Canis lupus familiaris: one gene and its partner. Each later gene encodes a partner of the first gene's protein in a complex. Links are inferred from orthologs where the notes say so. Each region holds a gene or a part of one and is shown on either strand. Other genes may lie near its edges. The genes, in order: ARHGEF6 and DCP1A.

Region 1 (3,915 bases):
CATTGTATGGTGACAAATGGTAGCTACACTTACTATGGTGGGCACTGTGTAATGTATAGAATGTTGAATCACACATTGTACATCTAAAACTAATATAATATTAGTTAATATTAATATCAACTAATATTAATATCAATATAACTATACTTCCATTTTAAAAACCTACAATCTTTTTTAAATGAATGTATAAGACTTCAGCATCATTTGAATGTACTATAATTTATTTGACTATTCTCCCATTGCTAGTTATGGATGTTGTTTCCATGATTTTGCTTCTGCAAATAAAGATGTAATACACACACACACACACACACACACACACACACACACTGAGGAACAAAGAAGTTACATAATTGGACACTCAGACAAAAGTATCACCTCCTTTGCAGCAATACCCCCAAATATACTGTAAGGATCTATATGATATAAAATAGTGCAATGTAAGTTAATATACAATTTCTACCACAGGGCCAGGCTCTCTTGGCTTTTCATGGCCTCTGTTCTAAAGTGTTAATAGGAAAAAAGTGACAGTATACTTTCATCTCTTCCCAACTCGGAGGGGGGGGATTACTATGACCCCCTAGAGCGGCCAATGGCCTGCTTTTGGTTCCTCCCAGGAGGGAGGCACATTACACAGCCTTTGTCACTGGAAGCCTGCTTTCAGGGCACGGATGCTGTATTAAAAAATAGCATATTCTGAGTTTTGATTTTGTTTTGTTTCATTTTGTTTTGGAACTGGTTTCTGGAAAAGACAAACTAACCAGCCACCACTGGAGACCACCAATCTTAACCATGATCTCCATAAAATGCTACCCCTGTGTAACAGTCAGAAACAACCCAGTACTTTTAGTACAACACCATTTTCACTAGCAAGGCAAGGCATCCCGGGTGGGCTTACCTCCACTTGAAGGGCTGCACATCCTTTCAGGAAGTCACTGATGTTGTTGAGGCAGTCAGCTTCGGTTTGGGGCTCCAAACAGTACTAGAAAAACATAGCCAAATGTCACTTGAACCCTGTTATCGCATGCCAAGCATACACCATAGTCCTCATTTTCTGATAACTAGATAGGTAAGCTTTTTAAGGCAGGGGCCACATTGCTGTCAATCCAGGAAGAGAAATAACCACTGGAGGAAGTGATGTAAAAGTCTAAACGGTCGGTCTGTTTCAAATGTCACCAAACTTCCAGTCCCAAACCACCTATCTCTACTGACAAACTATTTTTTAGCCTTCAGCCAAAGTGCGGAGACAGCAAATTAGATCCAGGCTGTGTTTTGACCTTGGTTCTTGCTTTTAAGTTATTTTCTTGCTCCCTCCTCCCCATGATAATTTATTAACACTCTATCCTCCCATTTACTGTTTGTTACATTTGGTTACAGTTCTGCATGTTGCACTACCACTTCAGCACTGTTTTTCAAGTTTCAGAGAAATTATAAGTAAACCAATTTGCTCAATAAAAATACCAACCAGTACAAGAAGGCAAAAGCACTCACGTTATGCTCATAGTCACGTCCCCTGCTAACCTTAAGAAAGCTGTAGGATTCAACCTTTAAACTTAAAGTGCCTACTTTAGAAATTATCTATCCTTGTGAATATGGATTTCCAACATTAAAACTTTTGGCTTTTTAAAAGAGAGTAAGGTTAGTTTCACTTTGAACACATGTTGCATACAAAACATATATCTGGTTTCTATTGTTTTAACAAACCTTTTCTGACATTTTGGATTATTTCTTCTGGTTGCCTCTGTTTCAAAGGATATTTTATTTCTTTGAGAAGCAAATCAACATTGATTTTAGTCAAACTGTCAATAAACACCATCAATATCTATTATAAATCATCCCGTTATTACACCAATTCATATATACCCCAAGTTCAAAATATGCCCTTGGTACACAGAGAGTAATAACACATATCTCTATGACAGAGCAAATGATACGAGTATTTTCTCCTTGTCCCCTGGCACCAACATTGTATCATGATTTTACTATATTTGGGGGCCAAGTGCTAACGGATAACCTTTCATTTTCTGAGCTTTTCAAGCTACAAAAACAAGACAGAATGCCAAACTCCTAGGAAGAGATTCAAGTGGCAGAGTCCCATGATCCAGGCAACAGAACATCTCAAGGGTTACATTATTGCTGCTCTCTGGTGGTAAGCAATCCTAAAGAGAATGCCCATTTCCCTTACCTTTTCTAGAGAGCCAGGCCTAAGTCTGTTGATCAGTTTGCACAGCACTACCCCATTTTTCAGCGAGGACTTCAAGAACTCCTCTGGATCACAGATGGTCTTTTTGGGGGAATCTAAAACTCCCAAGGATATAAGCCATGTCACGATTCGCTCTTCTGGATTCATCGCTGAGGACTGTATGCTCTGCACAGCTCCCCAGGGCAGCTGCAAGGACTAAGCCACATCCGTAATTGCATCTGCTACTGCCTTCCGTTTTTATAAGTTCTCTTCTGGGGCTTGCAGAGCAAAGCGTTTCAACGACTTTCTTAGATAACGCGACCCCACTCCAATTACAGGATCTTAAAGCCACAGAGATCACACTTAAAAGATGTAGAAATAGAAAGAATAAAAATCTTTGGATAATGCTGGATTTTGTTTTCCAAGCCTGCAAAGCTAACTTACCAGGGTTAAAAAAAAAAGAAGAAGAAACACACATAAACACAGCCCCCCCCCCCAAAAAAAAAACCCAACAGTGCAAGAAGCTGTAAGGGAAGGAAGTGAGGAGGATGCTGGGGAGGGAGGAGAGAGAATGAAGCAAGTGCTCTTGGAAAACACAGGGGACTTTGGCAATGAGACACTCATGGGCCAGTCTGGGGAAACACTGTCAATAAATAGTCTAGCCCCAGTGAAAATCTGGCTGCTGTCAGGAGGAAGATGCCAACTGGCTCTTAGGTCACATAGATCTGAGGCTCATGAAGAAGGTAGGCTGAGAAAATTCTTCCAAGAAATGGCCGGATGTCCTCATACTGTCTCACAGAGATGGTGTGTCATGATCATCCCTTGTAAAACACGTTGAATTGCATGGTGATAACGTGCCAAGCAAATGAAGACGGTGCCTGCTGTCAGCCATCACTGTGTACAAGCAGAAGCTAGAAGAATGGCATTTTACTTTGCAGCCAAAAAGCTATGTTTAGGGAAATAGGCTAAGGATAACATCTGACATCCTGTTTACTTGCATTCTTTAGCAATTCTTTTTCTGGACCTGGTTCCACTACACAATCCAGCTGCAGTACCCCTAGCAAAGGCTCTGACACAGTCCTATGAGAGGGTATAAAACACTTGAAAACAGAACTTTTGAGAACAAAAGAGCACTTGTCCTCTGTCTATACTATAGTCTGGAAAGTTGATGCTTCCCCAACAAGAAACACTTTGCGTTAAAAATGGTGCTCTAGGGGCGCCTGGGTGGCTCAGTTGGTTAAGCATCTGCCTTCAGCTCGGGTCATGATCCCAGGGTCCTGGGATTGAGCCCCATGTCGGGCTCCCTGCTCAGTGGGGAGTCTGCTTCTCCGTCCCTCTCCCCACCCACCCCCCACTTGTACTCTCTCTTGCTGTCTCTCTCTCTTTCTCAAATAAATAAATAAAATCCTTTTTTAAAAATGCTGCTCTGAAAAAAAACAAACCTGGTCTAAAACAAGAGATCTTTTCACAACCAGTTGAAATAGTCATACTATTGGGAAACTTGTAAGAAGACCAATGAGAACAGCATAGCCTTAAACTGGCAAATGCATGCTCCTCCCCATCAGTCACTGCCCCTCCTCAAGTAGGGGATCCTGCTAAGCTTCCGAATCCTTCTCAACACAGCTCTAGACATCTACTACCAAATGATCAGCTTAGATAATCCTGCTAAATGTTTTCAAAGCTTCCTCTTCTTGCCATGTTCCTAACACTTATCACGTTACTATTTACTTGTT
Region 2 (3,815 bases), on another chromosome or scaffold:
AGCTGGGGATAATCTGGATCTATGGTCTGAGTCACATGCGGACTCCTGGACTTGTCACGCAGAAACAAACAAAAACCCCTACAATGGACGCTGTGCTGGGAAAATACCAGTATTGTGTCTTGAGTTGTATCGGTTGAGAGATCTGGGACAGTGGAACTGAGTTACAACACCACATACCAATGATCTGGCTATTCACTACAGGGCTCCTTACCTCCCATCTTCTGGCCCTGGATACCTAACAAGCATCTCTTTGAAGGGACTGCCTAGTGGCAGGCAACATCAAGGCCTCTGTAGTTTCACCCACCCAGTCAGAGCCACCCAGCCTCCTGCCAGTACCTGAAGGGGAGCAAGCACCATGTTGCTCAGGGATGCTGAGGCTCGCGCTGCTGCGGTCTTCGGGGGAGGCTCTATGAAGCTCTCAGGAGTGGCCAGCTGGCCAGCTGCTGGGGAAAAGCTGGGTGCCAAGGCACCTTTCCCAAGTGATTGGGTCTGTATTTGGTCATGCTGTGGGGTCAACCTGAGTTTCTGGAGAAGATCGACACTTGGGAGGGATGTACCAGCTGTGTTTGTCACGCTCAGTGGGGCCCTGAAGGGGCTCTGGGTGGCAGTCAGATTGGTGTGGCTCAGCTCAGGGACTGGCTGGGTCAGGAGCGGAGACCGCTGTCTTGGCGTGGTCTTCACTGCCTGCATGATGGTGGCGTTCCGGGGTAAGCTGGGGGGAACCTGTGCTGTGGGAGCGTCTGCTGGTAGAGTGGGACTGAGCACGGGGCGCAGGGGGACGGCATAGCCTGGGGCCTGTTTTTCACCGGACTGTGTGATGGAGGCAGGAGTGATGAGCACTGGGGCAGGGACCTCAGGTGGGACTGGGTGGTGCGCAGCAGGACGGACACCCAGGTTTTCTGATGGAGGGACTCCTCCTGACTGTTCAAAGGAAAATGGTAGCAGTGAGCTGGACTCCTTCTGGGAGGCATCTCCTGGCAGCTTCTCCACTTCTTCTGAATCTAGACCCATGACGGCTGGCTGTTCCTTTGGCAAAGAGGTTCCAAATAATTCTTCCACTGTCAGATGTTTGTGTCCAGATGGAGCAGACTGAAAAAACAAATCAAACCACCCAATGGAAGAAATCTCTTACAAACCAGTGTAACCAAACTTCTTTCCCATCAACCAAAACAGTCTGCAGAAGGAAGGATGGACGGAGTTGGAAAATAAGGACCCAGAACAAACCAAAGATGTGCTAGGGATTAAGGACAAATCATCTCCCTCAGCTGGTGGGCAGAAATTTGTATTCATAATAAAATCCAAGTTTTAGGGACTCCCAGTAGAGTGTTAGAATTCCCCCTTTTCCTTGGCAAATGGATGTAAGGTAAAGGGGCAAGTATCTTATTACAATGTTAATAGTACTTAATTGCCCTATGTCAGTAACACATGTAAGGAAACAATCCTCAAGAGAACAAAGGGACCAAATGCTGAGTATTTCTACTTTTATTTTCATATTTCATAGTTCTTTTTTTAAAGATTTTTAATTTATTTAAAAATAAATTTAACACAGAGAGAGAGACAGAGACACAGGCAGAGGGAGAAGCAGGCTCCTCAGAGGGAGCCCGATGTGGGACTCAATCCCAGAACCCCAGGATCATGCCCTGAGCCAAGGACAGACACTCAGCCACTGAGCCACACCCAGGCATCCCTTATATTTCATAGTTCTTGATAAAAAGCTAGGCATTGCACCTTAAGGACTAGGTCTTGGGCAGCCTGGGTGGCTCAGCAGTTTAGTGCCGCCTTCAGCCCAGGGCGTGATCCTGGAGCCCTGGGATCGAGTCCCGCATTGGGCTCCCAGCATGGAGCCTGCTTCTCCCTCTGCCTGTGTCTCTGCCTCTCTCTCACTCTCTCTGTCTCTCATGAATAAATAAATAAAATCTTTAAAAAGAAAAAAAAAAGGGACAGGTCTTAAGTAAAAGAAAACAAATTTAACTATTTTGTAAACAGCAGGCCATTCCTCCTTTCTACTATCAAATCAAAGAATCCTCAAGAAAAAACAAATCATGTTAAGTCTGAAAATGTTAAGTTTCCATCTATTGCAGTGATCTGGCTTATTGATGCCACTGCAATGGTTTGAAGGAGAAATATTTATGCTTTTTACTCCTGAGCTTTTCTATACCTTCACTTCAAGCACTATGGCCATATTCACCTTAACAAGGTGCCAGGGCCTGTTGTGACCTGGGCCCAAAGGACATGGTAGGAAGTAACAAAGACTTTGACAGAGCTTATGTTCTAGTGGGAGACTAACCTAAGTACTTTGAAAACACAAGCAGTCTCTACATGTTTTGTTTTTTTAAAGTAGGCACCACACCCAGCATGGAGCCCAATACAGAGCTTGAACTTACAACCCTGAGAGCAAGTCCTGAGTTGAGATCAAGAGTTGGACGCTAAACCAACTGAGCCATCGAGGTGCCCCTTGATATACGGGACTACTAAAGTATGTGGACTGCTTAGTTGCTCAGATACATGTTTACATGGAAAAAGACAAGTCACTGAATGAAACACACAGTTTTCAGTACATCAGAAGGCCTATAAAGGTCTGAAACTACACTGCATCTGAAGCAGAAGAATGAAAGCAGCATGGTATGACATTTCTGCAGGAAAAGCACAGATTTTCCCAGGGAAATGTTTTATTCGTGAGATCAACAATTACAGGGTTCCCTTGCTATCTGAAAGCGGATTATTCCTAGGAAATGTTCAAAAGCCAAAATGATAGAAAGTGAAGCAGCAATTACTATTACTTCATAGGGAAAATTTCTAGACTCCAAAGTAACTTCTCTTCGGCTTTTTAAAAATATATTTTATTTATTTGCAAGAAAGAATGAGCAAGGGGGGAGGGACAGAGGGAAAGGGAAAATATCTCAAACAGACTCCGTGCTCAGCATGGAGCCCAACATGGGGCTCTATCCCATGACCCCAAGATCATGACCTGAGCTGAAACCAAGTGCTCAACCAACTGAGCACTCAGGTGCCCATCTCTTTGGCTTTTCTGAGACCTCAGAACACACCTTGCTAATAGATGCACAGAATAAAAAGAGACAAAGCATAGGTGCTCACAGACCCAAGTCAAAACTGTCGCGGCCTGCTGCTGGGATGCTGAGTGGTTCCCAGGGCAGGGGCTCAGCAGACCACTCTCTCTGAGCAGGGTACCACTGTCACACAAACACTAGATGCTATTTTTGCTTTTTATCTTTTTTCATTAAAGCAAAAGTCCTCTTTGGATTTCTTTTGGTCAGCAAGACAGGTACTGATACAGGTCTTCCCTAAAAGCAGAAGTGGACTTCATTTGAACTTTTGAAAAGGAGGGTGGGTGGGACAACTGTGTGTGGTTTAGCAGATGCCCTGGGTACAGTGCTGGGATGGGCAGGGTGAGGGAAGATGCAGCTCACTGGCAACAGGTTCTCAGGGGGAGGGTGTGAGGGATCCCCTTTGTTGAGGAGGGACATGGAGGAAAGGAGGCCAGCACCCAGGATGGAGGATGCAGGGGAGCTTGCTTATGAGGGACGGAAAGGTAAGTGAGTACCACTGTGTAGTCTCTCGTGTCACCTGTTAGGTGAGAAGGGCTGGCAGGGCTGAGGAGAATGTAGATGGGGCAAAGTAACAGCAGTGGAGAAGAGGCAGAAGCCTCCTCCAGTTATAAAAAAAATTGTAATTTCATACCAAACCATTTTTCTTAGAAAATATTCAATAAAAAGAATTAATGTAATATATCTTGGCAAGTTACTGTGACGAGAGGCTTTGTTTAAGTGAAGGAATTCTCAAACGGCAGATTCAGA

The links.
Region 2: ARHGEF6 (region 1) and DCP1A share a complex: the UniProt entries of both Homo sapiens proteins name them as parts of the cytoplasmic complex. The link is inferred for Canis lupus familiaris from reciprocal best matches to the Homo sapiens genes ARHGEF6 and DCP1A.

Annotation. Positions count from the first base shown.
Region 1 is NC_049260.1:108,084,514-108,088,428, forward strand, and holds the start of ARHGEF6 (rho guanine nucleotide exchange factor 6), read right to left. Parts: upstream 2,633-3,915; 5' UTR 2,351-2,632; coding exon 2,186-2,350; intron 983-2,185; coding exon 899-982; intron 1-898. UniProt on the Homo sapiens protein: Acts as a RAC1 guanine nucleotide exchange factor (GEF).
Region 2 is NC_049241.1:36,940,245-36,944,059, reverse strand, and holds part of DCP1A (mRNA-decapping enzyme 1A), read right to left. Parts: intron 1,090-3,815; coding exon 337-1,089; intron 1-336. UniProt on the Homo sapiens protein: Necessary for the degradation of mRNAs, both in normal mRNA turnover and in nonsense-mediated mRNA decay. Removes the 7-methyl guanine cap structure from mRNA molecules, yielding a 5'-phosphorylated mRNA fragment and 7m-GDP.